Linked DNA regions of Oryzias latipes. The protein of the gene in region 5 purifies or fractionates together with the protein of the main gene of each other region. This does not show direct contact. Links are inferred from orthologs where the notes say so. Each region holds a gene or a part of one and is shown on either strand. Other genes may lie near its edges.

Region 1 (4,156 bases), about 15 Mb from region 5:
AGGGGGTGGAGTGTGTGCCCGACTCAACACCGCCCCCCCAGCTCCATCAGCCACAGACAAAGACCCAAATGGGAGTGTAGGGGACCGTGGATTTGAGGGGGTTTACAGCAGTCGCCAGCCCACAGAACCTCCAGCCTGTGGCTACGGACCTCCTAAGGCTACTGAATCCTGCGCTAGACCACTTTCACCCGCTAGGGGGCCCAGCCAAGACTTTAGACCAGCAGCAACTGCGTGTAAGGAGAGGCACCAAATGAAAACTATTGAGTACAACAGCCAGCAGAGGGCGCTACACACTTGTGACACCCCACAGGAGGGTGTTTACCTTTGATACAAAGGCAGCTGATACAGTAGCTGTTACAAAACACATTTTAACAGTTGTGGTTAGAATGACCAACTGAGGTGAAGACTGACTACTGATATTTTACCAATTTAACAATGCCAGCTACATGTTTGATAGTTATTCTAATCTAAAAAAAATCTGAATTTAGTTAGAGACTATGTTGCTTCTCTTACCTGCCAGCTGATCCGGGAGGACAGATTCTCAACAATGAGCCTGTGTTCTGTCCGCACAGGTGGGCCGTACCTGTGAAACATCAGTGAAAGGGACCACAGATATTAGTGGGGTTTTCTGAGTGTCTGAAGCCCCACACTGTCACAAAAACACCTTTTTCAAAACGGTCTGTTTTTGTCTGCTCCTGATTCTCAACGATTTGAACAAAGAAAAACTCAGAAATGCAACTTTTAGGTTTGACTTAGTTTCAATACGTCCTCCATCACCAGAAAAATGCCACAAGAACATGTTAAAAACACTAAAAACAGGAGACGGAGTCTATCTCACATTGATGACCTCCTTTAAGGACTTCAATGGAAAACAGGTCCCAACCTAAAAACAAATGTTTCCAAATTTGTTTCTCAAAGCCACAAAGTCTTCAAAACTGCTTGACTTTTCTTCCAGAAATACTTTCTATACTGTAATGTTTACTGTGCTCACACACAAGTAGTTTTTTTCTTTTTTAAATCAGAGCTTTTTGAACCTGACATACCTGGATCCAGTGTTGCGGGACTGTCGATAACCCCCACCAAAACGTGCCATACCCGGGGGTCCGCCCCCTCTTCCTCTCCTGGAGCGAGCATGTTCAATAGTAACCCTGACGAAGAGCAGGCAAACACCACAATGAGCTTTTAGTCGATATTATGACCCTAATGTTCCTTCATGTGTTCATGAGGATCGATAGAGTTTTATCTTTTCTTCATAAAATTACTGAAAGAGGGAAGTACTTGCTAGCATTTTGAAAGTATTGCTATAGCAACCTTTACGCAAGCCTCCGGGGGAAAACTCTTTGCTTCTCAGAAACAGAACCTTACCTTTCACTCAACAGCTCTTTGCCATTTAGTTCATAAACTGCATCATCTGCATCTCTGTGGTCATCAAATTCCTAGGGGGAGAAAAAAAATAAACACTTTTAGAAGATCTGAGGAAGGAAAGCAGGAAAAAGTTTCTACCGAAGCCGCCATACGAACCACAAAGCCAAATCCGTTCTTCAGGTTGATCTCCCGGATTCTTCCGTAACCCTTAAAGAACTTCTCCACGTCTCTCTCTCGGGCCTGAGGGCTCAAGCGGCCGATGAAGACGCGACTTCCACTCATGGTATCTGTAGAAAAAAGGGTGAAGATTTAAACACTCTGCTTCCATCTGAAGCTCCTAACATCTTTTGATCCATTTACAAAGTGTCCCCAATGGTCTTTTAATTATGATTATGCCACTTTTAGCCAAATATCAGGAAACCTGTGCCGTTTTCTAGGACATTTTTATTGTAGACCATCTGTTTACATCCTCTCCCACTAGCTTACAGCCCTTCACAACCCTTAACATTGCTAGTGCAACAACAATGGTGTGCAATATCCGGCTGATCCCTGCAGAGATGAGCTAAACAAAGACGTACATGGATCCATTTGTCTACAGGGGGAGGCATCAGAATGGGACCCACCGTCTGTAGCACCTACGTCACTGCTACGGGCTTTTTCAGACGCCATCTTTTTCGTCTGCTCCCGGTTCACAACCATTTGAATAAAGAAAGCTTATATTATTTTTTTTTAAATACATGCTCTCCATTATTGTAAAATTACCAAAAGAACATGTTAAAATCACAAATTTTAAAGAAGTGGGTCTTTAACGCGGAGAAAAACGACAAAACACGAAACTAAAAAGTCTCGAGACACACGAAGTAAAAAAAAAAAAAGACCAAAATATATAAATATATTTCTATTGTTTAATCTTCCAAAGCACTTTTTAAGGATCGATCATTCTGTGGAAAGCTTAGATTTTCGCTTTACATAAACTTTTTTTTTTTGGGGCCTAGTGATCGCGCGCTGTCCTTCACCAGCCAACAAAAACCATTATGTGGCGCAGTCCTTCAACACTAAACATTTAACTCGACAAATGACAATATATGAACAACTACGCGCTGTAATAACCCATTTCTATTGTCGAAAACTAATTTCTATCGTCGAATTTATTCATTTATCTCGAAATATTTGTAGGGGTTTTAGATCCTGCGTCAACGTACGTCTGTTGCCTCGAGGTCGTTGGTTTAGCCGACGCCATTTAGCATTAAAACCTCAAATAACTTCCAACAAAACACAGTAATCCGTAAATCTATCTCTTATATTTTGTTATATTTGCTTACCAATGGTTGCTTTGTCGTGGGTGCGTCTTTACTCGGTTTGTTTTTTAGCAGCAACTAAAAGTAGGTCAAGCTCTGACTGAGAGAAAATGGCGACTGAGCTTTTGGAGCAGGAAATAGGAAACCCCGTTGCTGTTTTGAGCAGCAACGGGGTTGCCAGACAATGGCTCAGTGGTGTAATTGTATCCCTCAAGTGAAACTTTTGTTTTTGTTAATATAGAATGTAAAACAACTGGCTGATACATTATTTTATTAAATTATGAACTTTTTAGAAGAAAAAATAAGACACATGCTTAATCAAATACGTGTTTTTTTGTGGATTAGTTGAAAAACGTTTTAACGTATCTGGCAACCCAGATCTGCGCAAAGCTGTAAATCATGTTGCATTTGCTGTTCCTCGGAATTACTAACTATAACTTTAAAACAGTCATCACAATGTACTTTTCAGCCGTATATTCTGTGTCTTTTTAGCTAAAATTTTATAAATAAATAAATTAAAACATTTACTTTGAAAATATTTAGGTAGATTTTGAACATGTATTTGGAAAAAGACGTACGTTTACTTTATTATACTAGATAGAAAATATAAAAAAAAAAGACTTTGATTTTAGAGCTTTAATCCTTTTGTTTATTTGTGGAAGGCACCCTAATTTCGGATGAAGGAAGGGTAGTAAATCAACTTCAAATGTTCACTTTTAAAAATGGAAAAACAAAACTCAGAACACAAAGTTCCGAGTTTTGTCATCTCGTGAAGGCAGCATTCCTTTAGGACTTTAACTTGCACTGTAAATAGCCCTCCTCTCTGCAGTCCATCCTTGCCTCAGTCATCACAGTATCTTTATGTGCTGTTGAACCCATAACAGGTGGAGTTCCTCTGCCTTCAATGCAAAAATGTCTCGAATTTATTCTAAATAGCAGTTAGGTAATAAAACCTTCAACATTATTCACGAGTTGCCAAAGTCAACAAGAAAATCCGTTTTTTTTTGCTTCACCTTTGCCACACCCTCAACCTTCATTTGAAATTATTACTGAGAGAAGCTCTGGGCAGATTTTTTACCTATAACGGTGAAGTCTGATTAGATTAAATATACACTACGGAGATTAATTTGCTTTTTTCACAAACATAATTGAGTATTGAGTATATTTCAGAGTCAAATTGGCTTCTGGTTGATGATGTGAATCAAATCCACGACAGAAATTAGCAGAGCGGTAAAAGTCTTATTGCGTCCTTGATGAAAATCTAGAGTCAAAATCACAATTTACTGGAAAATTAACTGGTGTTTTTACAAAATATCTTTCAAGCCAGATGTACATTTTGATTTAAGAAATTCTGCGTAATTTTGATCAAACAAACCATTTAGTTGCCTTTAACATGTAAAAGGTGGAATATTTTAAATTGTAAAAACAAAGCGAAGACACTGAACCGGGTCAATTTCTTTAATTATAATCACAATCAGTCTTGAAATGCTTGT
Region 2 (4,268 bases), on a different chromosome or scaffold from region 5:
GAGGTTCAATAATCATTCACTCTGTGGTCATAAACGACACGGGACAACAGGTCCGCCATTTAGTGGATCCGCTCACCAATTCTTTATTCTTCTTCTTCTACTCTCCCAAATTTAACTTGCCACGCCCCCTGGTCTCTAGGGTAACCCGGGAGGGACACACCTCTCCCAAAATAAAAGATCCAGGAAGTTGGTTACATACGTCCACCCTTTCAAAAGAAATGTCCTCATTTCTACAATTTCTACAGGAAATGCAACAGGCCGGGGAGTGCAAAAAAATAAATAAAATAAATGAATTAAGAAATAAACATTCGAGACCCAATATGGCGTCAACAAAAGTCAACCAAACAGGAACAACATGAGTTTACAGAACCCACCGGCAAATTTCCCACCACAGGAGGGAGAGGAAAAAAAAAAATCTGAATAATAATACAACATTGCCTGCCAACCAACAGCATATTATTCAACAGAATCTTTCAAGGAAGGAAAACACAACAACATATGACAGTCTCCTCACAACACCAACAAAAATTTCACTGTGACATAACTCTGTATTGTTACATCCTAATAAAGTCCTGATAACGTGTTGGAGCACGCACCATTCTGCCACTGCGGGAGTGTGCAGGGGCTGTCCCAAACGCGTCCCTCTGACCCTGTTGGGGTGGATCACCATTATCTGGGGGGTCCAATGAAGTACCCGCCGAAGGAGAGGATGATGGCGGGGTGGACATACTGTCGTTTGGGGAACCAGCAGGCAGGGGAAGAGTGTAACGTTTTAACCTGTCATGATGAACAACCTGGGCCCGCTCAGACATATCCAGGGGGTTGACAATGCGATATGTCAAAGCGGCCTCTGCACCTGAAGCCAGAACCCGATCCACACGATAGGGACCTTTCCAGTGCGGTGCTAGTTTTGTGCGGCCCTCTGTTGGGTTATTAAGCCAGACCAGAGCACCCTCTGTAAAGCCCTTGTGGTGAGAGTTCTCATCATGGTACAGTTTCTGTTTCTCCTGCGCCTCTGCTGCATTAACCCTCGCTGCACTGAAAGCAATCTCCAGCCGCTCCACAAGAGACGACGCGTATAAAGGCAGCGTGGCTGCACTGCCAATGCCACCAACCCCACTAGGAATGAGAACCTCTGCCGGGGTCCGGGCTTCGCGCCCGTGCATAAGATAAAAGGGAGTAAACCGTGTGCTGGTGTGCTTGGAGATGTTGTAAGCAAAAGCAACAGATTTCAAATGGTCATCCCATTCCCCCCCCATGGGACAACAACATCTTGGCCAGCTGGTCAATTAGGGTAACCCGGGAGGGACACACCTCTCCCAAAATAAAAGATCCAGGAAGTTGGTTACATCTGTTTTAATTGTGGTTTGACACTTTATACAGCTGCCACAATATTGTAAACCTCAAATGTTTTTTCCAAACGAAAAACAATTGCTCTTCCGCCTGATAAACCTGGTCGCCTGCTGATGACGTAAGCAGAGCGACACGTGGAGCGCTGTTAGTAGCTAGCAAAGCGGTTACCCCCCTTTTGCGGAGACTACCGATTCGTTTTGAAGACAGACACGACCGTCATGGCCGCTGCTGGGACACCGGGCAGGAGAAGACTCCTGAAGGAGGAGGACATGACCAAGGTGGAGTTTGAAACCAGTGAAGAGGTGGATGTCACCCCTACCTTCGACACCATGGGGCTCCGTGAGGACCTGCTCCGGGGAATCTACGCCTACGGTAGGCCGGTGGATTCGAGAGGCCTCCGCCTCCAGATGCTAAGCCTAAATCCGCTGTGTGGTTCAGTTCACCTTAAAAAAGGAATGAAAACGTAGTTGGTATCAGACTACATCCCGTAATAACTTACATTAAAGCGGGTAGATTGGTGTGACCTGATCATTTTGTCGTTGGCGGGAAGAAAAACTTCATCTTTTTAGCCTTCATGCTAGCATGCTAAGGCCGCGTGCGGCCGCGCTGACATGAAATTAGTTTAAATTCGTGTTGATTATTTACTAAACGAAAACCAGATACTAAAATTTGCGGGTTTCGTTCAGTAATGCCTGGACACGATCTTTGTTGGTATTGTTGCTCGTAACAGTCATGATCCAGGAGTTAGACGGTTCCCATCCTATATGGCTTCGTATATGTAGCGAATATTTTACTAATTTCCCCCAGAACTATTAATAAATATATGTCAACACTTCTGTCTTAATGTGTATTTTAATTTTGTTTCTGTTCATGTGTTCTGTCTTCTCCAGACGGCAGAACATTTTATGAACATATTATCTGGACCCAAAAGGACGGGAGAAATCCCAATAGACAGAATCGATCAGATTTGTATCTACAGTAATATTGAAGTGTTGCACTGATAAAGATGAATTCTCTACATTTTCCTGGACTATTGTGCTTGAGAGGATCCTTCTTTACCCCTAAAACCCAGTTTCTCCATAGAAATCCTTTCTGTGGGACTAAAACTTTTCTTTCTGGTCAGCATCACCAGAACTTCCCACTTTGGTCCCCCTCAGTTTGAGCAGCATGGGAACTTCTCAGATGAGGTTTCTCTATGTGGAAATGAAGATGGACAGCACCTGACCAGGTTCTGGTTCTGTTACAGGTTTCGAGAAGCCTTCAGCCATTCAGCAGAGAGCCATCAAGCAGATCATCAAAGGCAGAGATGTCATCGCTCAGTAAGTCTGGGCTGGAAAACATGCAGGTGCTCTGGTCCTCCATGCTGTAACGTGTGATCTGTGCTGCATTCAGGTCCCAGTCTGGAACAGGAAAGACGGCCACTTTCTGTATTTCCGTCCTGCAGTGTCTGGACATCCAGGTGAGTTCTTGCTGTTCTTGTGTCCCGTGACAGACGGGCCAGAACCCGTTTGCAGCTCGGTGGTGATGCTGTTCCTTCTGCAGGTCAGGGAGACCCAGGCTCTAATTCTTGCTCCAACCAGAGAGCTGGCCGGACAGATTCAGAAGGTAGCCCCGCCTCCACCGCCATGTTCAGCCAAAGGCTTGTAAGGTAGAGGCGGCGGTGCCAGTCACGGTGTCCTGTGTGCAGGTGCTGCTGGCTCTGGGAGACTACATGAACGTTCAGTGTCACGCCTGCATCGGAGGAACCAACGTGGGCGAGGACATTCGCAAGCTGGACTACGGCCAGCACGTGGTAGCTGGCACCCCTGGACGGGTTTTTGGTGGGTTCAATGGGTTTTATGGCAAAAGTGGCACAAACGGGAATGCTGACGGCGTCTCTTTACAGACATGATTCGGCGCCGCAGTCTCAGGACCAGAGCTATCAAGATGCTGGTGTTGGATGAAGCTGATGAGATGCTGAACAAAGGTGAGGTCCTCTGCTGTTCAGCGTCTTCTGTACCTGCAAAGCAGCTCTGTCTGAGCTGAAAGCTCACCTGCTGGTCATCAGAATAACTCTGGCACCTTTGGTTACGTCTGAAATGTGTTGAAGGAGCAGGAAGGGTTGGTCCTTCCAGGTTGGAACCACCTGTTCCAGACACACTTGAAGGTCACCTTTCCTTTCAGTGGTCGTGTTTTCGGCTTAATGTGTCAGATTTGAAAAGTCCATTTGACGCCATCGGGCCGCGATGTCACCACTTCCTGTTTAGGACGTTTAAAGCAACACTTCAGTGAATTTTAACGGTGACATGGAGATGTTCTAAGTGAAGGTTAGGAAGAACCTTCAGCAGAATCTTCAGCAGAACCGCTAGCAGGGTCAGAACTTTAAATTCATGTCTGTAGTGTTGCTAGTGTCACTGCAGAGAATGGTTTCAGATTTCTGCTTTAACATTCCAGATTCGTGGGGGAGCAGAGCTTTTGGGGGGTGGGGGTGGTGGTCTCTGTAGCGCATGGGGAGGTCTTCATCTCACCACCACACATCTTTGCTTGGCTGTTGGTGTTTTTGCTCTTCGTCGCCATCAGATCTTTTTCATTCTAGAATCCTGGACGGATTTTTCTACGAAGGCTTGAACTTTAAGAGAAAAGTCTGGAAATGTTGACAGCTAGCTTGTGGATTTCACCTGTGGCCGGTTATTTTAGAAGGCAACTCCCGCGATGGGAATGCTGTAGTTGAGTTCCGGCGTGACTGCACTTCCTGAATGACCCTGGTCAGTCAAAGCCGCCGTCATGGCTGAAGTTCTGGCAGACCGTCCTAAACTACGAGCTCTCTGAGAGGTTTGGGGCCGGCCTCAGAGACGGAGATGCTTCTGGGTCTCAGGGACCAAAAATCAGGAGCAGCCTTTCTCCGGTTTGGAGCACCTGACATCTCTGAGACTTCA
Region 3 (4,195 bases), on a different chromosome or scaffold from region 5:
TCAAAGTCGAAAGTTCAAATAAGCCATTTTGGAGCTCTAAAGTTTGAATTGTAAAAATACAGAAGTTACAAGAACACCACTGTATCTGTTTTGGTATCCAGTAACAAAGCCATTCTAACTTCTTAACCTCTGCACCTACTAACACAAAAATGAGGCATCCATACAGGTTTCTGTTAAAGAGACTGGTCCATCAAATTGACCAAACAAAAAGCATTTACTGTTTTTGGACAGTTTGGAAAAGTCTGAAATGCTTTTTTTCTTTCCTTTCAGGCTTATACTTACAAAATTGTTTTTTTGATTTTCCTAAAAAAAAAAAAAAAAGCTGATCCAGTCATGTTTTCTGACAACATAGAAACCAATGGCAATCCTCACCATCACCCCTGGTCTATTGGCAAAAGGTTGCTGTCATCATGGCTTCCGGTTAGGTCAGCCAAGGATCAAGAGGGGGGCAAAGGTCACACACACATTGTAAGGTGAAAGCCAAGGCCAAACGGGACAGGCAGTCATCTTAGCCAGTCATCTTTAGCCTCAATGGACTCTCAGCCTCAGCCCGCAACAGGACTCTTTCAAATTGAAACATCAAGGACTTCTGTTAATGTTTAATATATAAAAAAATATATATATGCCAAGGTTAACAAACACATTTCATAAAAATGTTAGTGAAGTCCTAAAAAAAAAAGAAAAAGACCAGCAAAGACTACACTAGCTACGTTTGCAGTCATTTGTGTGTAAACATTTCTAATCAAACTAATTTTACAATTTAACATCATTAATCAAAACATTTTAAAGAACTCCACAACTTTTTTTTTTACTTTTACTTGGATACATAGCATTACTCTTAAAAGTGCCCTGAGTTCAGAATAGCAGTTTATTCCTCATTGAAATGAAGATTTGACTCCGTGCAAAGTTTTGATCAGGGAGAAAACGGTTCACAATAAACTGACACAATGGAAATTATCAAATTATCAAAGAAAAGACGAGTGCAGTCCATCAGAGTGAAGATAAGATTTGAGAAAGCACTAACGCCTGATTTAAAACAGGGTTCCTACAGGTATGCTCACAGTTTACCAAAATACAATACATTATCTTCAACTGGATTCTATTAATAAATTGCTCCTTTAGCATTCATCTACTTTTGATTTAAAAATTAAAAAAATTACTTTTAGTTTTTAGAGCTTTGCATGGTCAAGCTCAGAAGTACATATCTGACCTTTTAAAATATCTGACCTTAAACATCTGACCTTAAACCTGCTTTAAAACTAGATGAGATCTCTCATTTCAAGCCGTTGCTCTTCATCTTTGGAACTCCCATCGTTGTTGCATCAGAGGGGCTCCGTAGAGTGTTTTAAATCTCAGGTCAAGACGTTTTTAATCAGGAGAGCTTTTAGTTGATTTTAGAACTTATTTTACTATGTTTACAGTGTTTTGTTTTATTATTTTATTACTTTTGTGTTTTGATTTGATGCTTCTGCTGTAAAGCACTTTGAGATTCTTTCTGGGAAAAGTGCTATATAAATAAAGATATTCTATTCTACAATACGATTTAAATCAGGTTGAACTGAGTAGACATATGTTGATTCAATGTAGCTTGAACACCATAAGGACGAACCTAAACACAAATAGGGGAAGGGTAACACCTCTTGGGCAGTAGCCTTCAACCTTGGTCCTCAGGATCTACCACCTTGGTTATTTTCTAGACATTCGTGTCGTACCTACTTTGATTATCTTAGATTAGATGTGCTCAGTTGATTAAAAAAAACCTTTAGCAGGTATATAAGTGAAAAACTAAGCAAGGTAGTAGATTTGGAGAAACAAAGTTAAGGTTGTTTTAATGTTAGATCTGCAAGCTAAAAGATTCAGAAAGAAACAAGGAACCCTGTAATAAAGCATAACTGATTTAATACGCAAGTAGTTGAGGTGGTACAAAAATAAATGAGTTTTTTTTGCTACAGAAAAAGATACAAACAATAACCCAATTAACGAGCAAAAAAACTGTAACACTGTTAAAAGGGCTTTATTACATTATCAATCACCTGAGCAGCTCACATTGTAACCTCACTGATGGAGGAGAAGAAGAGACGTGGTATCTTTAAATAACTGCACTTACTGCGCCCACCACCCCAGGAGGAACCCCCACCGTAGCCGTCTCGGTCTCGCCGCGGTCCCCGGGCATGCTCGACAATCACCCGCTCCCCACACAGCTCCTTCCCGTTCAGCTCGTACACAGCATCGTCAGCATCCCTGTTATCCTCGAACTCAACGAAGCCATAGCTGTGGAAAGAAGAATCACAATTTCATTTCACTAATAAGAACATTATTTGAGTGAGGATAAATTCAATTAGCCGACGTTAGCTTAGCAAATGTAGCAAATAACGACGCCATGTTTGACATATGAGAATCTAAAAAGAAATCAGAGAAAATGGACGTTTTACCCTCAATCCGGTATTTATTTTAACACTGACAGGAATCCTTAAGCGATATGTAACGGTGACTGAATATGTACGCGCACAGTTCAAACGCGTTCACCTCATGTCTGCAGCTACGCCGTAGACATGCCCAGGTGTCTTAGCGTTAGCCAAACATGTGCGATTTTATCTCTAGAACTTACCCATTTTTCATATCGACTTCCAGTAATTTACCGTATCCGCTAAAAAATCGTTGAATATCTTTTTCACGAACATGATAGCTTAAACGACCTATGTAAACACGAGGCATCTTTTTTTTTTTTACTGAACTTGTTCTCGACTGTTCCACCAAATAGCTACACGCTACTGTAGCTAGCTTCTTCTGTGGTGGGCGTTCACTAAGTTCCAGAAACAGCCAATCAACGACAAGATAAGCTATTTCCGGTTCCTGTACTGCAGTTCTTACTTCCTGTCCTTTTTTGTAATTTCTTTTTCATCATTATTATTTTTTGGTTAAGAACAGAGCAGTAAACAAAGAGTTTATTGAAAGAACACGGTCACACAATGACATATAATCAGGGTGTTGTAAAATTTCACATAGAAAATACATACACACATTAAAATCTATTATCTTGTGTTCCGAAGATTGCACAATAAATTCAACGGGGCTTGATGGTTTATTAATTATGGAGCATTGACTGTTCTCATGTACAATCAATGTTATGTTGTCCAAACATATACGTTTTTCACCTGCAAACCAATAGCCGCCAATTAAAAGTATTTAACTTTTCCAAAAACTAGTAGAAACAATCTGGAACTATCTTATTTCCCCCAGTTCTTTAGTCATCTGATTGATGTAGATTTTTATTAGTAGTAGTATTATTTAGATGTGTTTGTGTCAAATTTTGTGTTCTAGCTCTGCATTTCACATATTTATAGGCTGCCTTTACATTAACAAAACATTGGTCCTCATTATTAGGTTTACTACGAGAGTTGCTAAAAGGAAGCAAATATCCGATTTTTAACCAACCTTGGTGCACAAAAACAACTGATAAGCTATTTATGCGACAAAAAATAATTAAGTATAATATTATACAAGATTTACTGAGAAATGTAGCTTCAAATATTCAGGGGAAAAACCTATCATATATAAAGATCTTTAAAGCTTTCACTATCATTCATAAATGTAGTTTACACAATACAAGTAAATCACAAATAAACCTTAACCCTTGGTAAATTGTATTATTTTTCTTGAGGTCCAAAGCCATTTACAGTTTTCTCTTTTGCCGCCTTTAACCAGAGTTGTAAAGATCCATTGAGTAATTTCTCATATTTTATATCAGAGTAATACCAATTTGTATCTTTATTATTCATTCGTTCATCTTCTGGTGTTTTATCTTGGGGTCACGGGGCTGCCAGAGCAAGGCAAGGGACACCCTGGACCGATCGCCAGTATTGCAGAGCCACAATCACACACCCATTCACTCTCAGGGACAGAGAGTGTTAGAGTTCCCAACTGACCTATGGAGCATGTTTTTGGATGGTGGGAGGAAGCCGGAGACCCTGGAGAGAACCCACACATGCACAGATTGAACATGCAAACTCCACAGAGAAAGGTCCCCCATTGTTCTGTGTCAGGTCCCCAAGCAGGGGGGGAGGCAAGAGTGCCACCGTGCAGCCCGTTTCTTTATCCTGCACTGTGTTATGAAGAAGTATATTATAAATTCTAAACAAAAAAAATCATTTTTAAAATTTTAGTGACTATGTTATGTTTTCTTAGAAAAAAATAT
Region 4 (4,254 bases), on a different chromosome or scaffold from region 5:
TCTTGCCCTGTGTGTTGGCCAGGCGAGCCCTGGCTTCAGACAGCATCTCCAGCTCGTCTGCAAACACAGAAGCACAGCTGCTCCTTAAAGGCAGACTTCACAAAGTTCCACAAAGAATGAGAGGGCAGTTTTCACTGTAGCTGCAGAGCTGTAGAGATTCTGTACCTTCGTCCATGTCCACGGGGTCCGGTCTGGCAGGTTTGGTCTCAGGATTTGGGTCGATCTCTCCTGGTTTCAACTTCCTCGGATCATCTCCCACCTCTTCCTCATTGTCTCTCTGTGCAGCTTTGTCTCTAAACAGAAAGCCCACCCCCTTCACACACACTCCACCACCTGGTTATGGTCATTCCAGAAGAAAGTCAGACTTACAGCAGGTACTCGTAGTGCTCCAGACACTGGGCAGCAGTACGTCCTATGATGGGAGCGATGGTCCTCCACTGCGTCGGCATCAGCTTGGCCAGATGAAGCAGCTTCTCCTCCTCCTCTCTGGACCACTCCGTTTTCTTAATGCTGGGGTCCAACCACTCGTACCTGCAGACATGCAGGGTAAAACAAAATCCATCCGTTCATCTGCCTATAAAGCTGCCACCATTATGAAAATGGAAGATGTGTTTCGGCATCAAACTCACCATCTGGCTTTGCACTGTTTGGCAGACTTGCGGTGCAGCAGGGAGGCGATGCGGGACCACTGGTTTTTCCCATATTTCATTACCGCCGCCTTGAGGATCTCATCCTGAACAAACAAACAAATAATCAACAAAGACTTCACTAAACAACAAACGACTTACTGCTTTGGTTAGCAGTTGTCATTTTATGAATCAATGAATCACGCGCCTTATACTGTCTACATTTAACAGGTGAGCCCTGCCCACCCAGATCCATCCTGCAGGCCATAAATACATTACATTATCTCCTAATATTAGTTGCCATTAACTGCCCGTGTTCTTTTGTATACAGTGATGAAAGTCAGGCAAGGAAAAAATCCCTGAACTTTTCTTTGAGCGATATGGCGGCGCAGAGAGAAATTTTTGAAAAATACATAGTCTTAGATGCATTCTGGTGCATTCTGGCAGCTCGTTATTCACTTCTTAATCAAGAAACTAAGACTAATTGGAGCATCATCATTTGTCATTCAAACCCCTAGTTTGACTTAACATTAAGGACTTCCTGGTCCTAAAAAAGAATTTGGATCATTGCTCAAAGTATAACAATCCTACAATCTAAGCTTTTCCTAAAATCTGCAAAAGATACAATTGCTAAAATATAGTAACATCAAAGCCCCAAATGGCAAAAAGAACACCAGTAACTATGATATTCTATGAAAATACCTCAGTTATTTATACATTATTTCTGCTTTAGAAATGACTGATGTACAACATTCACTTGCACTGTTTTCTCAAACTATAATTACATCAAAATATGGGATCTGCTTTAAACTATAATTCTATAACATAATACATCAATTCTTTAACACCAATACTAAGTAATCTGGGAAATATCAAAACAAACATACAAACTAAATTAAATATTGTAAACATTATTTTTTAAGGGAGTGCGGGTCCAAACCATCAAATACTTATAATTAATGTCAACTATACTGAACTAAATCATGGTAATTAGGAAATACAAATAAATTAGATAGAGAAATGTATTCAAAATAAAAACTGAAACTCAAAACTAAAACTGAAATTATTTCTGAATTTGGTTTTGAGATTATTTTACACAAAAAAGTATTTGACCTACACTACCTTAAAAATATTTTTCTTCCAGCCAAGACCACTTCAATTTGTTTTTTATCGTCTTCTCACAACTGAGGTCGTGACCACGCTCAATAATGACGATGCCTGCCATTATTTTAACACAAATTTGATCGCAAACTCTTTAGATTTGTTTGTGAAAGTTTAGCGTGGGTCAGCCAGTTTTGGTCTCTAGGGAAGCAAGTCACGCTGACCACGTGGTGCAGACAGAGCCAATCAGACCCGTCGACGCATCCGAAAGCAACTAAAACGTCCCGTCATTGGTCAATTAGGCCGGGAAGACGAGAGATGGCCGCGACCATATAGGAAGCGATCCGCGGAGAAATATAGAAAATAAAGCTAAAATTCGCCGATTTCAGACCATTTTTTCATCCGGAAAGCGATTTGTCCGTAAAGATCAGGTCTTTATTTCCCGGAAAGTACGTTCGGTTTGCTCAAAAACCCGGATTTCCGGGAATTCCCGGAAGACTTTCATCACTGTGTATATAAATAAATAAAAATAAAAATTAAATAAAAAAGACATGGATGCTGATCTGCCTAAAGTTTCCCGGCTGCAGAGCGAGCAGCAGCAGCAAGTCTCCTCCCCGTGAAGAAGGCAGCGGACGTTCAGGACTAGCATAGAGGAAGACGGCTGCAAATGTTGCACTTTCACCACCTTCATCACCTTTTCCAACTAAAAACATCGATATCAAAAGTTAAATTCGCGGACAAAAGAGCGTGTACATAAACGTGCTGTGGAGAGTACGGCCTTTAGCTTTATGCTAACCTCCCGCCATTGGTTTAGGATTAGCCTAGGAGCATGCTAACAGTTAGCCATGTAAACACTTACCTCAGTGTTACGCCAAACCCCTCCTTTTATCATAATACGAGGCATCTTGATGGCTTGTTTTTGAATTCTCCGTCAACAAAATTAAATATTGCTTTAACACCCGCTATTCAGTCTAGCAGATTTTCCAGTTCTCCCTAAAAACTAGCAACACTACGAAGGAGAAACGACATGCACGGATACACCGGAAACTGTATTCTTACAAGTAGTCACCGAAAGGCACTGTGGGTAACGTAGTCTTATACCATGACTGTCTCATATGTATATATGTTATTTTAGGAAGCAGGAAAAATAATTACTTTGGGTAAATCTTAACCCTCCTACCCTTTTGCTATTAGTAGCAACAACAAAGCTGAGAAAAATGAGTCAAATGTCCCCAAAAATGTGTTTCTTACCAGATAAAATGACAAAACGGAAATCTAATTTAAAAAGATGTAATCATTACAATGTTATTTATTTTAAAAGTGTTCCATACATAAACCGAATACTACATACTTTGTAATGGTGCAATTATAAAACCTCTAAATAATGTCCTGCCTTCGCCCAACAGGAACCGGGATGGGCTCCGGCAACCCCGTGACCCCAGCAGGTCAACAAAATAGATGGAAGTTCAAAACAGAAGCGCTGGCATTGGATGTGTTCTCTACCCGCTGATTGTTTCACTGAAAACGGCACATACCCAAAGCTGAGTCCCTGATTGGTAAATGCGATGATTCTTAGGAAATATTTGCCCTATTCATTTATCAATTCATTATTTCTCATTGTATTTCCCCAATCAGTTAGGGGGGTCGGAGGTGTGAAAGAAGTGGGGGGTTGTGTGTAGAAGGGGGCCCTATTTTTCAATTTTTGTGACATTCCCATAAAAATTAGCGAGCTTCTAGTTGCAAAATTCTTTGCACAGGAGCTTGCCAATGACGACCGAGAAGTTAGATGATCGACGAAAATACCTTGTAGTTTTCGTGTGTAGCTGCTACTACAGGTTTTTTTCAAAGACCTCTTCCCGAGGCTAAAGGTCGACTTTTCTCATATTGTGGAAAAACATGAAAATTGCCACAATTTTGCCACAAACCAGCTGCCAAGCAGTGGGTTGTGTGGCCCACAATAATTTCAAAACGTCCTTTGGATATCCCCGACATGTGTTGTATGGTTTCCTTAGTGTATTTTGACTGTTTTTGTGCCTCCATTAGCGATTTTCGGCTCATTAATTTTTTATTATTATTTTTTTTATGGTTTCGCTTGCCATGCTGTCATCGACTTCATTTTTACCAGGTACTGGCGGTCTGCAAGTTTTGGTGAGTTTTCATGCATTTTTTTCAGAGCGGCTTTATGTCAGATCCAAACACTAAACATGAAATTTAATTAGTTTAATCACCTTTTAAATGAAAAAAGAGGACATGTAATAAAAATGTCAAGAACGTGTGAAAAAAAATGTAGAATAAATCAGCAAAGCAGAGTTTTACAAAATAAAACGTCCTTCATAATCAGATAAAAAATAAAATAAAAACACTGCCAAGTATGTATTTTTTCTCTCTGCTGCTTGGTACCAAGTGACCAGACTGGTACCAGTACTCATGATAAATCAATGAATGGATCAAATAGTTGGATCTGGTGGATATAACTAGTTTCCTTTTCTGCTTTAATGTTTGATATCAGAATAAACAGGCAGGTTTT
Region 5 (4,024 bases):
GTTGACGATGTTTGCAGTAAACCATCGGGATGGACGATGATATCGCCGGGGGATTTTTAATTTTTCATTATTATATAGTTATTATTCATTATTTCACTTTATTACTTCATTTATTTTATTTCCCAACTAATGACTCATCCGCGATGATCCAGTATAAACTGAGGGAAGTGACTTTAACAAACAAAATAGAAAATAAGTAGTCCGCTCCTGCACTTGATTAGTCAAGTGGACCGAGCGACCGTGTCTCTGAGGAGACGGACTTTGTGTTTGATGGGAGGATGCTTTGTTACGTGTGCGCTATGTGTGGGAGACTTCGGACTGCGATCTGTCCCACAGTTCTAGGTGAACAAGCTACCGGAATCAGGAGAACCGGGTCTAAAGTGTGTGTCCGGTCCAGAGCTCGGACCATCAGCTCACATAGCGGCTTTGGGGCGGTGTGTGAGCTTTTCAAAGCAGAAATGTCGCTCAGTCCTTAGAAACCGTTCAAACAATCACGTGGATTTGGGTTTCCAGTCGTGTCCCGACAAAGTAAAGGCTGATGTTATGCCCACATATTTACGTGCAGCCAAGATGCAGATTGCAGCGTTTCCCGCATGGATTTTATGTTCATCAAACAAGGCTAATGTTGTTAGCGCGTGTTAGCCTCTCTTAGTCCTGGCTTTTTCCAGCTTCGTTCTTCAACAGAAAAAAGCACTGACCACACAGATTTAAATTAAAATGATGAGCAAACAGGCGCTTCATAATAACCCTAACATTAATAAAAGCACGTTTGGAGGATATCTCGTATATTACCGAGCTGCCGGATATCTATGTATGTAGCCTCTCAGCGGAACTCATTTCCTCTTCCGGTATTTCAAACACTACTGCGCATGTGCGAAGGATTTATTCCAAATGAAAGTGTGACCATGTGAACGTTTGTTGTAATCAGAAATGTTTTTCTGGGCCCACGTACACGGTTGAATTCTAATCCGACCATTGATCCGATCAAGATATTTTGCACATGTAACCGCGGCTTATGGTGTCGACTCGCAGCGTGGCGGGGGCGTGGCATCACGATGGTGACATCTCCATGGAGAGACACCATCGGCACAACCGATGAACCAGAAATGCCATTTGAAGATGAATTTTCTTTCTATGGGTCCTCCAACATGATAAAAATGCCACAGGAACGTGTTAAAAAACAATTTTCCTTGGAGTGGGTCTTTAATGCCCATTTTACAGGCTATTACATGATCATAGTAAAAAGAGGTGGAGCAAGCTCCAAACATTTCCCTCCCCAACTATGTCCTCCCAGTCAAGACATGACTTTTCTCCAGGCAGGCTGTTTTTACATTTTAATGTTCCCATGCAGCCAGTGAACCAGCAGTTAACGTTAACTACTCTGTTCATCATGGGTGTGTCAAAGTTTGCAATAGTTGGTTCTTATTGGCTAAACTAAGCCAACTGAGTTATCACAAGTGGAACCAAGAAGGCCATCTATTGTGACATGGACACTTTATTAAAACAGTAAACAAGTTTGTAATAATTAAAAACCTAACCAAGTTAAAAACCTTTTTAAATTCTAACATTTCAATGTTATTTTATATATTTTATTATTATTGCAGACATGTACCTTTGAGACCAGTTGAGACAGCAGGAATAGCTGAGATTTATCAGTACAACCAAAATAAAAGTTCCATTTTCAAACTTTCAAAACTAGAAGTTTTGAAGATATGTAATGTACAATCAAAACACATCATATTCTGATATAACAAAAAAATACCTTCTTGTCCAGACATTCTGCAAATTTCAGCTGCTTCAGCAGTTTCTTCTGCTTGTTGCTGAAACGGTTGTCTTGCTCCGCACTTGTACCCTTTGGAATAATGAACCAGCAAGGTTTTAATAAGACAAAATGTAAAATACATGATACACCATGCATGTAGGAATCTTGTCCAGAAAACGTTTAAAGCACCGTTTAGTCAACAAACATTTTAGGCTAATAAACACAAATTTGCCTCGTTCAAAATTATTCGTTTACAACAGTGGAAAAGGGGGGCTCGACGCTGTGGTAGTAATCTGAGCTCGTGAATCTGGGTCATATCGTTGATACGCATAAATTAGCTTTTGCTAAGCTAACTGTCCTCTGAAGTCCTCGTGGCTAACCAAAGAGACACATTTACCGTCTCTGGTATAGAAAAATTCCGGAATTACATCGTTATGTGTTTAACAAAACAGTAAGAAGCCAAATGACTGTTGGCTAAAGTTCATATAATGACAACCGTGACTCTTTCGGGACGCACCGGTTAGGCGCCATCTTCGGAGAAGGCCAACAAGTTAGCTGTGGCTTGCTAGTTGTGTCTGGCCTAATTCCTGATAACTTGACAGCAGATGAATATCAGGTTTTAAAATACACCAACATAATAATATTACATTATTAGATCAAAAAGGCGTCGATATGTAGTGTGTCATTGCAAATTGTTTCTACGGCTTAGTTTAGAATAAAAACCTCAAAGGAGAACCAATGCTTATTTTCGCACCAGTTGATAGACGAAGCCCTGACTAAGCGTGCCAAATCTAGCCGAATGTCCCTCTCTGCCTATAATAATGCGTAGCATTTAAGGCACATATCAGATCAATATACAATTCAGCAAGACGGTTGCTACTGTCAGAAATAAGTTTACTCCACTTACGCGGAAAAATCCCGCGTCCATTATCGGGGAAAATGAATCGTTTCAGGAGCGGTTGAAAAAGACTTGCAAGGCTTCGGTGAAATCTGAAGGGAGAGCCGGATGAAGATAGCGCCTCGTCCGGAAAAGATGGGTACTGCACTCAATTTACAGTCTTCTTCTTGTGGTTCAAATGGCGGGAGGCACCAACGCCAAGGCTCATTACCGCCAACTACTGCGTTGGAGTGTGAGTCGGACTTAATAGACTAGTATAATAGACTTAGTACACTAATATACTTAATACACTAATAGACTTAATAGACCACTTAATAGATTTGGTCCTAGACTAGGTCCTAGTCTATTAAAAAAAACACATTGTCCTCAACAGTCTAGTTCTCTTAAAAAATCCAATAACAACTCAATTGAAATTATGCTCCCCTTCCAAAAGCCTCCTCAAACTCAGCCGCTCTGCCTCCGGCAACCGTACTCCATCCTCCACGTGCTTTCTTTCTTCCCCATACAATTCTCAGTAACACAAAATGTGCTCCACTGATTCTTCCCCTTTCCCACAATCACAGAGACCAGTGTGGATGTTTCCCCAGTAAATGTAATGTATTATTTAAAGCAGTGTGTCCCATCCTCAATCATGATATAATGATTTGATCTCTAGTGTTTGACTTAAGATGCACCTTTCCCTACCTTTTGTTGTATATTAAATATATGTCGTCCTTTCCTCTATCTTTCACATTGTTTCTGCCAGTCTTCCATAACACACCTCCTCATAATTGTCCTAACTTCTGTTCTTCCCAATGGAAATTCTATCTACACACCCTGTTTCAATGCCCGCTTTGCCAGAAAATCAGTTTTTATTCCACCCCCATGTGCTGGTACCCACATAATTCTGATACCGATATTCCATTTCTCCAGTCTCGACACAATCTCAAATCTCATACATTAGATCTGACCTGCTGTCGGAAGAAAAAGATTTCAAAGACATTACACCATCACCAATTCTTTTCTGCTCTAACATGCGTAAACTAAATGATATTGCCAACATTTCAACAGCAAAAACGCAAAGATCCTTTGATGGCTTAATTCCGACATACTTTCCTAATTTTGGGATACAGAAAGAAAAAACTGTCCTCTTTGTTACTGAATCTTCAGATCCATCTGGGAATGAGTGAAGCATGAACCGTATTCAACCTGTCTGCTGTGATTTCATCCCAATTCCCTTTGCTAACATCCATCTTCATATGGAGATAAAAATCAACTTGTACGGTTGGAAAAACCCAGAAAGGAGTGGTACAAAAACGTCTTAACTGGGTCCTATCATAAATCTTTGTTACTCTCTCCATATAGATAATTTCCAAGCAACACTT
Region 6 (4,233 bases), about 15 Mb from region 5:
GAACCAGAACCTGCGACAGCAATGCAAGGTTTAGAGACGAACGCATCAACTGTGGATGCCATAAAGACGGCGGTGACGGCGGGTCACACGGAGGAGCTGCGGGTTAATGTGGTAAAAACTCTGGTTTCAGACTCACTGTGGGCGCGGGGGCCACTACGCCCATGTGAACTGGGATCATGGGAGTACCTGGAAACAGCAGAGGGAAAAGGTTGGTGTAGATTTTGCTTTCATCCACACTGAATCCTAACTTCTAGGACTGTTTCACCCAGAAAGTTCCCTCAGTTCCAAGCTGTGAGTGTAAAGCCAACAGGGTGGAGCGGACGCTCACACATCTAAGACAAAGAGGCCCTTCAGAGGAGACAGAGGCAGACAGAAACCTGTTTCCCCTCAAACTATGGGAATCCAGTCCTCATGAAGACAGTGATCCACGGTGAGCCTCAAACACAACTGGACTTTAACGATGAATCCGTGAATTGATTTATGATTCCAACCAGACAGAGTTAATGGAATTGGCCCACACTGTTATAAAATGGTTTCAAAATGAGATCAAATACTATTTGGATTGAGGTACAGCCGGTTTATTTTACTAGAAGGTTTAATCGACCAATCACAGCGGACAACACATTTGTGATGTCATTAACACGGAATGTTAATGACATGTTGTCATTAACAACATGTCTAATGTGCTAGAATGTTCTAAGAATGTTCCCTTTGGATTCTTTGGATGTGGAAAAACAACAGTGGTGAAATTTAGGAAACTAACATGTGAATGGATTTGACATTCATTCTAGTTTACTTGTTTGTTTGGACACAGATTTCATTTCCACTTGATGATCTGGAAGAAATCCAAGAATCTGGAAAACTGTTCAGTAGCAGGAATTTCTGTCTGGAAGTTTGGATGAAGAGGATCTGGATCTACTTTAGCTCAGTGAACCGGAGCGTTCAGAATGAACAAATATTGAATATAAACATATCGTCAGCCACAAATTGTGATATGAAATGCAGCATTAAAATGAATGATTACACTTCTACTGGTTCAGAAAATACAAATAAAAATGGAAAGAATTTAAAAAACCCAGCAGCTTCTAAACCTGTGGGTCACTTGGTACGGGACAACAGACACAGAAAACAAAACCAAAAAACTTACAGAAAGTTATTACAGTTATTACTATTAATTTATTTCTGTTTGGAGGATTTATTCATTCTGAAGGAAGTTTTATTTTGGAAAACTATAGGATTCTGTGCACCACATCCCTTTATGCTTTACTGCATATCAAGACGTTCTCCTCGGTCACGTGTCAAATACATTTGGTACTTTCTTAAAGCCTCCAATCCTAAATTTAATGCCCGAAGACAGCAAAGTTAATAAAAAACAAACGGAGGAAAAGATCCAGAGAGGAAACCGAAGAAGAGTCTTCAACTTCAAAATAAAAGAAATCTTTTAGTTGTGTCATTGCTAGGACATAGTTTCTGCAGAGCGACAGGAGTTCAATAGAAATTCACCCCCCACACACTTCCCGCCACCCATCTGTTTACAAGCTCTCCTGCTAGCTTACAGCGCCTCACAACCCCATGCTAACACGGGCGGTGCAACAAAAATGGCGAGCAATATCAACCTACACCTGTAAATATGGAGCTTGTGGCTCCGCCCAGCGTATTTTCTACATCACCTTTGCAAAGAGCATTTTTTAATCTGTTCCTAATTCACAATAATTTGAATAGAGAAATACTCAGAAATGCAATCATGAGTTTAAGTTTCTTTAAATATGTCAGAAAAATGCTACAACATGTTAAAAACACCAGTTTGATGGGAGGGGGTCTCTAAAGGTTAACGGTGAGCTTCTACTTCAATGTTTAGTAGTTTAGCCTCCCGTGAGGAATTTCAACATCAATGGATTTGAATGGATTTCCTTTTTCCCAAATTAGCCTCCATTCTTACCTGATTTTTTCACCTGGAATCAGGTGAACAACATTGCTTATAATATGGATGCCTACAGGCAGGGGGGCAAATGCGCATGTCTACAGATCTGAGGCTCCTGTCAAAACTGAAATCCCAGCATGAATAAAGCATTTATGACGGCTACCACCACAAAAAACGGTGTGGATTTTTATTCAAGTTCATCTAAATCTACCAATTATCGAATTTCATTCATCTCCCCGTCAAATCACGTGGTGAACTGCAGTGCTTCCCAACGCGATGCTTGACTCCAGATCCAACACAAGCTGGGGGGGGGGGGGGGGTCACAGGTGTGCGGCGGTTCTCGGTACCTGGTGGAACTGGAGGGGCGAAGCCTCCGTACTGCGGCGGGGGGATCCCTGGGGGAAGCTGGGGGAGGCCGACCTGCGGCCGGTTCATCGGAGGCGGGTAAGACATTCCTGGAGGAGACCGCCTGCAAGACCGAGACAAGAGGAGGTTAGCGGGAAGGAGTGGAGCTTCTTCCACTGGTCACCGTCACAGCGACCAGCTCAAACTGACAGAATAAACTGACAAATCGATGAGATTAAAAGACTAGCTAGCTTGTAAACTGCTAGCCTCAGACGGCTAAGTCCGGCCTTGCTGCTAGACGTTAGCATCGGCGGTCATGAAGAACGCGCTCACCCACCTTCAGTCAAGTATTCCGTTAAAAAGAGGACACGGCTAACACGGCTGATTATCCTCGTAAAAAACCCATTAAATGCAGCAAAAGGACCGATTCCGGGAGAATTAGCAGGCTAAATTAGACACCGGTTCACTGCGGGAGCTCCCGTGGTTCGAGGCTAACGGAGCTATTCTTTCCGAAAAGGATTATGGGACATCTGGGTTCAGCTCGGGTTGTTTTTTTCTTAATACCCTGAGTGAGGTCTTACAGGCAGCAGCTCCTGCATCAAACACTTTAAAATCGTCAAATTTGCCTTAATTCTGTTGGATTTGTTTTATTTAATTTTTCATTTAACAAAAAATACAAACATAGTTATGTCAATGTCCTTTAATAGAGACTTCATTCTAATTCAAACTGAGAGTATGTGAAATAAAAGGATAATTCATGTAGAAATAAAAGATTTTCCAAAATTATAACTGAAAAAGCAATTTAGGATCTTTAAATACTAGAAATACTAGAAAAAAGCTCCGTAATTAAATTAGCCATTTTTTTTAAATAAATGTCTGGATAGAATGATAACTCAAGCTGGCTCACTGGGGGAGCATACAGGAGAAATTGAAAAAAAAATGGCTTAGTTTGGAGTTCCACAAGGTAGCTACTCTGGTCCGCCTTTATTGTCATTGACAAATTTGTCGGTCAGATGGATAACAAAAAGCTGGACCTTGGCAAATGCTGCAGTACTAAACCAACAACAACAAAAACTCTGACCATGTTTTTTGGACTAAAAAGGTCGGAAAAAACCCTCAAGTACAGGAAACTACACAGAAAAAAAATCCAGCTGGGATTTGAACCTTTCATTGTAGTGATTGTGCTGCCCACTACACACCACCAAGACGTTAGAAATGAGAGCGAACTCTGGTTTGCCTTACAGAAGAGATCCAGGGAAAAATACGATGGTGCAGATAAGAAAAAAAATCTCAGCAGTTCATATTTTCCGCCGCTCGGTGGCGCCAAAATCCACACTTTGGCCTTTGGAAATTGATTTCGAACCTGTGTCCTGGAGCAAGATGTGAACGTCCATCGCCGTTACTGTTTGCAGCTGCGTCAGTCTAACATGAGCTCAGCAGCGAAACAGTTGTTGCTCAAATCCACTTTCTTCTGTATTCTAGAAATGTCATTTTATTGACATTCTACGGTTTTCAGCAGCTAGAATTATGAGGAATAATTCAACACAAACACTAAAACCTATTTTTAAAGTAATTTATTTTGTATTTTTGTCTTTGATGAGTGTTACACAATCAGTGCTTTAATATGTTTTCAGACTCTGTTCTGCCAGCAGCTACAGGAATGACACAAATACAGTAAACTAAGTTTGTGATTCAACCCCATGTGTGTGTTTGTGTCTTTGTGTGTGAGTGTAGTGTGTGAGTATTTGAGCGCATGCGTTTGTTTTTTTGTGCGAGGTTATGCAAGTTTGTTGATAGGTTTGACTGTATCCCTGAGTGTGCGTGAGTTTGTGTGTTTCTGTGCGTGAACTTGAGTGTGTATTTGCTTCTGTGTGTGTGTTTGAGGTTTCGTGAGTGTGTTCAAGTGTGTGTCTGTTTTTAAGTGGGTGTGAGGTGGTGTGTGTGTAAGTGTTTGTGTGTATGTTGGT
Region 7 (3,961 bases), on a different chromosome or scaffold from region 5:
AGGCAAGTCCCTGGGTGGTTAACGAATTCAACGCCAACGTTTAGACATTTGAAGTCTGGATGCACCGCCCGAGGCGCCGCTGCCGAACCTCAGATCGTGTCAGCACAAAACTGGACGCCTTCGACGTGTGAATCCCATTCGGTGTGAAGATAGCTTAAAAAATTACTGAAACAGGCTGCAAATTTTTCTTGTGCTAAAAAAAAAAGAAACAAATGTTGTAAACTGCTCTGTGTTTGACTAATCAACCCCCCCACTGACCCGTTTACCTGAAGCTAGCCTTTTTCCAGCTAACAGAGTTGTGACTGCTGTGACCTACGATGTGCCCAGATCCCCTAACATCAGCACCATCAAGCTCCTCTGACAGCAGGCTCCATCTATCTGATCACTCCCATTGAAACAAAGACTCACATGGTGGATGACAAAGCTAGAGTTTAAACAATAAAAGTCTCTTCAAACCAGCTGTCTCTTCACTTTCAAAACTGAAATCAGCAGTGTACTGAATGAAGCAGGGAAACTTACTAGTTTTTTTGGATTTCAACAAGCTAGATATGACGAAAGGAAGGCAGACTGCCGGCCGCGTAGGTAGAATTGGCGGAATAGGAGTGGACAGATGCTGCAAGGTGATTAGATGGCAGGCAGATGGGGGCTGGTTGTGGCTTTTTTCCTGCTTTAATTGGTAAGCTGACGGCTGCTGCTGGTGGGTTGTAGACATTTGGGAACATTTTACGCTGATTGGTCGGGAATGTGAAGTGGGTGGCTGCCCTTTGGTTTAAGGCTGAAGGAGCAGGAGGTTGAGAACGGCATGCTGAGGAACCAATGGGCTGGTGCAACCTGACGACTGGCCAAGCCTGGGTCATGTGACAGCACCAGCCAAGCTGATTGGGACACGACGGTCAGCAGTCGCGTGATGCTGAAAGAGGACTAGTTGACTGAGGGTGGTGAGAAGAGGCATGGTGGTGGTTCTGCAATGGGTTTCATTCTTATTAATATAGATGAAAAGTAAAAAAAAAATATAAAGACATTTGGCAGTTTTACCCCTCACACCGCCCGCCCCAAACTTTATACAAATTTACTTCTTTTTCCAAACTAAAAACTTTATTTATGACCTCTTGTCACTGTCAAACTCCTAAACAAAGATTTGGGTGTGCACACGAAACACACACAAAAGGACTCTGGCTGTTAAAAGCCAAAGTCCCATTCTACACAATGTACTTTTGACAAATATTTGAATATTTTGTGTGTTTTCCTTGTTGCACAAAGTAAGCGCAGACAGGTCAACAGTCACCAAAAAAGAAAGAAAGAAAAGATAAATTAACAACACAACAACCCAGACTGGAAACCCAAAAGCAGTTCTCAGGAAATGTACTGTAAAGTAAATCACATAAGAGGATATAAAGCTAAGAAATCCCTTCCATCAAAGAACCCCTGGGTTACCTTCTCCTGGGTGGCGGGCTGCTACGCCGCCTGTAGTCGTCCCGTTCCCGCGGCCGCCTGCTCCACGATGGAGGAGCGCCGCGACTGCGGCTGCGCTTCTCCCCGTTAGACAGCTCCACGCGCACCCGGCAGCCGCACAGTGTCCTGCGACAACATTCACGCCTGTCATTCATTTCATACCAAACGCTGATTTCTGTGGAATTGCTGGTGGCCAGACAAACCCGTTTGGGAGGATTTTGCGGGCCGTACCTACAAAAATCACACAGGGAGGGACGTACCTTCCATCCAGTTCTCGCACCGCATCCGTTGCATCTCTGGGATCTTCAAACTCTACGAAGGCGAAACCTGGGGGGTTCCTGGCCACCCAGACGCTACGAAGAGGTCCGTAGTAGCCAAAGGCGCGCTCCAACTCGGTTTTGTTCCCATTGTTGCCCAAATTTCCAACGTAGACCTTACAGTCCAGGGGACAGTCACGGTGCATGATGGAATCTGGAATAATCAAAACCACGGGGTTATAAACACAAGGATCAGCTAAAAATATAAGAAGATGATAGATTACATTTCTGGTTTCAAATCAAGCAATTCTACTGTAGTCGACTGATCGGTTTCGTGGATGAACCAGGACAGACCAAACTAACAGTACGGCCGGAGATCCGCCTCTGCTCTGCCACCGATGATAATGATGCTCCAAATACCTGTTTTTCAATGAGCCACAATAAACAAACGAAGATTTCGATAAATATAGTTACAAATGTTCTTACTTTGGTGGGCTGGGTCTAAATACGCATCGAGTTTCCACTACACGCGATCATCATTTAGAAAACTGATCCACATTTCTACCAAAGTTAGCATAAAATGCTAACTTTAGCCACACGATCGTGTAAAGTTAGCCATAACCGGTAGCTTTAAGCTCACACTTAGCAACTCTATTTCAGTTTTGTAGTTTGACTTTTTTTTTAAACACACAGACTTCACTAACGGAGAAAACGGGTGAATAAAAGCAGCTAAAATGGCTGTCGATACTCCGCGGCCTTCTCCTCCTGCGGCGGCGGCGGGTTCAACACACGACGTGATCAGACAATGGCGCACGCGGCTGCTTCCTTTAGCGCTAAAGCACGTGTCTACGGCGCTGAAGGTCCGTGAATGTCTGCACTACCTGTACCGGAGCCGAAGGAATTCACCGCTGAGAAGAACTCTTTTTCACGTGCACCCGTCTCGCCGATGCACTGCCTCCAGCCGACGGTGGAAAATGGCGTGACGGAGAATACGTTCGACTGTAAAAAGTGACCAGGATGCTGCACCGCGAGGGGCGGGGCTTCTCTGTGCGCGCTCGCGAGCGTCGACATCAAAAGCCAGTTCGGTGTTCCCCGGGACAACGCCGAGAAGATCACTTCAGCACATTTTAAACCGGTTTAGCCACAGCAGAGGCCTGTTTCACAGCAGCCAATTTACGCTGACTGTTCATTTCCGGGTTTGTTGGTTGTATCAAATTCTCCAAAAGATACATGGAGAAAAAATATTTGCAGCTGTTTTCATTTATACAAATAATTACAAATTGTTGATTTTTTTTAAAAATTTCCTTTTATACTTAAATAGTGGTTATACACAAGTCAAGTTTATTTGTAGAGAACATTTAAAAAAAAGACAATACAAAGGGCTTTACATAAAACATTAAAGGAAACATAAAAAGGTATTAAAGGAGTGATCAATAAGTAAAAAAAGATTAATAGAGCTGAATGTAAAGTAATGTGGATGTAAACTTTTGCATAAAACTAATCAAATGCAGCTGAGAACAGGTGGCAGTTAAAGACCAACAGCGATGAGAATTGTGTTGTTAGTGTTTTTAAATGTTCTTGTGGCATTTTTCTCATGTTGGAGGACATTTATGAAGAAAATTAGGCCTAAAACTGCATTTCTAAGTATTTCTTCATTCAAATCGTTGTGAACCAGGAGCAGATGAAAAAATGTCGCAATTCAGTACTTTAGTCTATAAATGGATCTTAAAGAAGTAAAAAAGAAAAAAAACAGTTTTTGAAGTTTTAGTCATAAACAACAACAAAAGCATGAATGTCAACAATAAGGAAAGAAAAAAAGAAAGGAATGCACAATGTACGGAACATCACAAAAGCAAAACAAAAAAATAACAATGAGCTGCAGAGTTTATTAAAAAAATTACCTTTTGAAATATTACATTTGTTGAAATTTCTTTTTTCTTTTTTATTTGTTTGATACTTTCACTATATTTAATTATTTCATTCAAAAAGTGTTCAAAATCAAGTTTAGAGTTTGACCATTTCCTTTTATATATATGAAATTTCTCAAAAACAAAATAAATTGTGTTATAAAAATAAAGTTCTGCTTCATGTTGTCATAACAGCCCAAAATGGTTTGTTTTTCTGAAAATGTGATTGTTTTTCCAGTTTTATGACTAATGTCATTTCCAACGTGACTCCAAATCTGTCCAATGTTCTTTTAAAGACTATAAATAATGTGGTATTCTGCTGGTTCCTGGTGTCGTCCTGCTGTG

The links.
Region 1: the proteins of srrm1 (region 5) and srsf5 purify together in Homo sapiens (affinity purification with western blotting; 3 studies listed by BioGRID and IntAct, with this or other methods). This does not show direct contact. The link is inferred for Oryzias latipes from reciprocal best matches to the Homo sapiens genes SRRM1 and SRSF5.
Region 2: the proteins of srrm1 (region 5) and eif4a3 purify together in Homo sapiens (affinity purification with mass spectrometry; 3 studies listed by BioGRID and IntAct, with this or other methods). This does not show direct contact. The link is inferred for Oryzias latipes from reciprocal best matches to the Homo sapiens genes SRRM1 and EIF4A3.
Region 3: the proteins of srrm1 (region 5) and srsf6 purify together in Homo sapiens (affinity purification with western blotting; 3 studies listed by BioGRID and IntAct, with this or other methods). This does not show direct contact. The link is inferred for Oryzias latipes from reciprocal best matches to the Homo sapiens genes SRRM1 and SRSF6.
Region 4: the proteins of srrm1 (region 5) and cdc5l purify together in Homo sapiens (affinity purification with mass spectrometry; 4 studies listed by BioGRID and IntAct, with this or other methods). This does not show direct contact. The link is inferred for Oryzias latipes from reciprocal best matches to the Homo sapiens genes SRRM1 and CDC5L.
Region 6: the proteins of srrm1 (region 5) and RNA-binding protein 25 fractionate together in Homo sapiens (co-fractionation; 3 studies listed by BioGRID, with this or other methods). This does not show direct contact. The link is inferred for Oryzias latipes from reciprocal best matches to the Homo sapiens genes SRRM1 and RBM25.
Region 7: the proteins of srrm1 (region 5) and serine/arginine-rich splicing factor 3 purify together in Homo sapiens (affinity purification with mass spectrometry; 3 studies listed by BioGRID and IntAct, with this or other methods). This does not show direct contact. The link is inferred for Oryzias latipes from reciprocal best matches to the Homo sapiens genes SRRM1 and SRSF3.

The regions. Positions count from the first base shown.
Region 1 is NC_019880.2:1,440,030-1,444,185, reverse strand, and holds the start of srsf5 (serine/arginine-rich splicing factor 5), read right to left. Parts: upstream 2,801-4,156; 5' UTR 2,688-2,800; intron 2,044-2,687; 5' UTR 2,035-2,043; coding exon 1,989-2,034; intron 1,653-1,988; coding exon 1,522-1,652; intron 1,437-1,521; coding exon 1,366-1,436; intron 1,149-1,365; coding exon 1,044-1,148; intron 584-1,043; coding exon 514-583; intron 1-513. UniProt on the Homo sapiens protein: Plays a role in constitutive splicing and can modulate the selection of alternative splice sites.
Region 2 is NC_019859.2:158,191-162,458, reverse strand, and holds the start of eif4a3 (eukaryotic initiation factor 4A-III), read left to right. Parts: upstream 1-1,468; 5' UTR 1,469-1,571; coding exon 1,572-1,725; intron 1,726-2,599; coding exon 2,600-2,672; intron 2,673-2,745; coding exon 2,746-2,812; intron 2,813-2,895; coding exon 2,896-2,958; intron 2,959-3,040; coding exon 3,041-3,173; intron 3,174-3,238; coding exon 3,239-3,319; intron 3,320-4,268. UniProt on the Homo sapiens protein: ATP-dependent RNA helicase. Involved in pre-mRNA splicing as component of the spliceosome. Core component of the splicing-dependent multiprotein exon junction complex (EJC) deposited at splice junctions on mRNAs.
Region 3 is NC_019865.2:7,383,803-7,387,997, forward strand, and holds the start of srsf6 (serine/arginine-rich splicing factor 6), read right to left. Parts: upstream 2,801-4,195; 5' UTR 2,716-2,800; coding exon 2,609-2,715; intron 2,272-2,608; coding exon 2,108-2,271; intron 1-2,107. UniProt on the Homo sapiens protein: Plays a role in constitutive splicing and modulates the selection of alternative splice sites. Plays a role in the alternative splicing of MAPT/Tau exon 10. Binds to alternative exons of TNC pre-mRNA and promotes the expression of alternatively spliced TNC.
Region 4 is NC_019873.2:1,354,714-1,358,967, forward strand, and holds the start of cdc5l (cell division cycle 5-like protein), read right to left. Parts: upstream 2,801-4,254; 5' UTR 2,632-2,800; coding exon 2,587-2,631; intron 734-2,586; coding exon 630-733; intron 532-629; coding exon 370-531; intron 294-369; coding exon 166-293; intron 58-165; coding exon 1-57.
Region 5 is NC_019880.2:16,873,782-16,877,805, reverse strand, and holds the start of srrm1 (serine/arginine repetitive matrix protein 1), read right to left. Parts: upstream 2,801-4,024; 5' UTR 2,691-2,800; coding exon 2,670-2,690; intron 1,853-2,669; coding exon 1,763-1,852; intron 1-1,762. UniProt on the Homo sapiens protein: Part of pre- and post-splicing multiprotein mRNP complexes. As a component of the minor spliceosome, involved in the splicing of U12-type introns in pre-mRNAs. Involved in numerous pre-mRNA processing events.
Region 6 is NC_019880.2:1,888,585-1,892,817, reverse strand, and holds the start of RNA-binding protein 25, read right to left. Parts: upstream 2,801-4,233; 5' UTR 2,604-2,800; intron 2,391-2,603; 5' UTR 2,375-2,390; coding exon 2,269-2,374; intron 187-2,268; coding exon 137-186; intron 11-136; coding exon 1-10. UniProt on the Homo sapiens protein: RNA-binding protein that acts as a regulator of alternative pre-mRNA splicing. Involved in apoptotic cell death through the regulation of the apoptotic factor BCL2L1 isoform expression.
Region 7 is NC_019863.2:2,322,580-2,326,540, forward strand, and holds the start of serine/arginine-rich splicing factor 3, read right to left. Parts: upstream 2,801-3,961; 5' UTR 2,781-2,800; coding exon 2,591-2,780; intron 1,924-2,590; coding exon 1,713-1,923; intron 1,579-1,712; coding exon 1,435-1,578; intron 963-1,434; exon of another isoform or gene 1-962. UniProt on the Homo sapiens protein: Splicing factor, which binds the consensus motif 5'-C[ACU][AU]C[ACU][AC]C-3' within pre-mRNA and promotes specific exons inclusion during alternative splicing.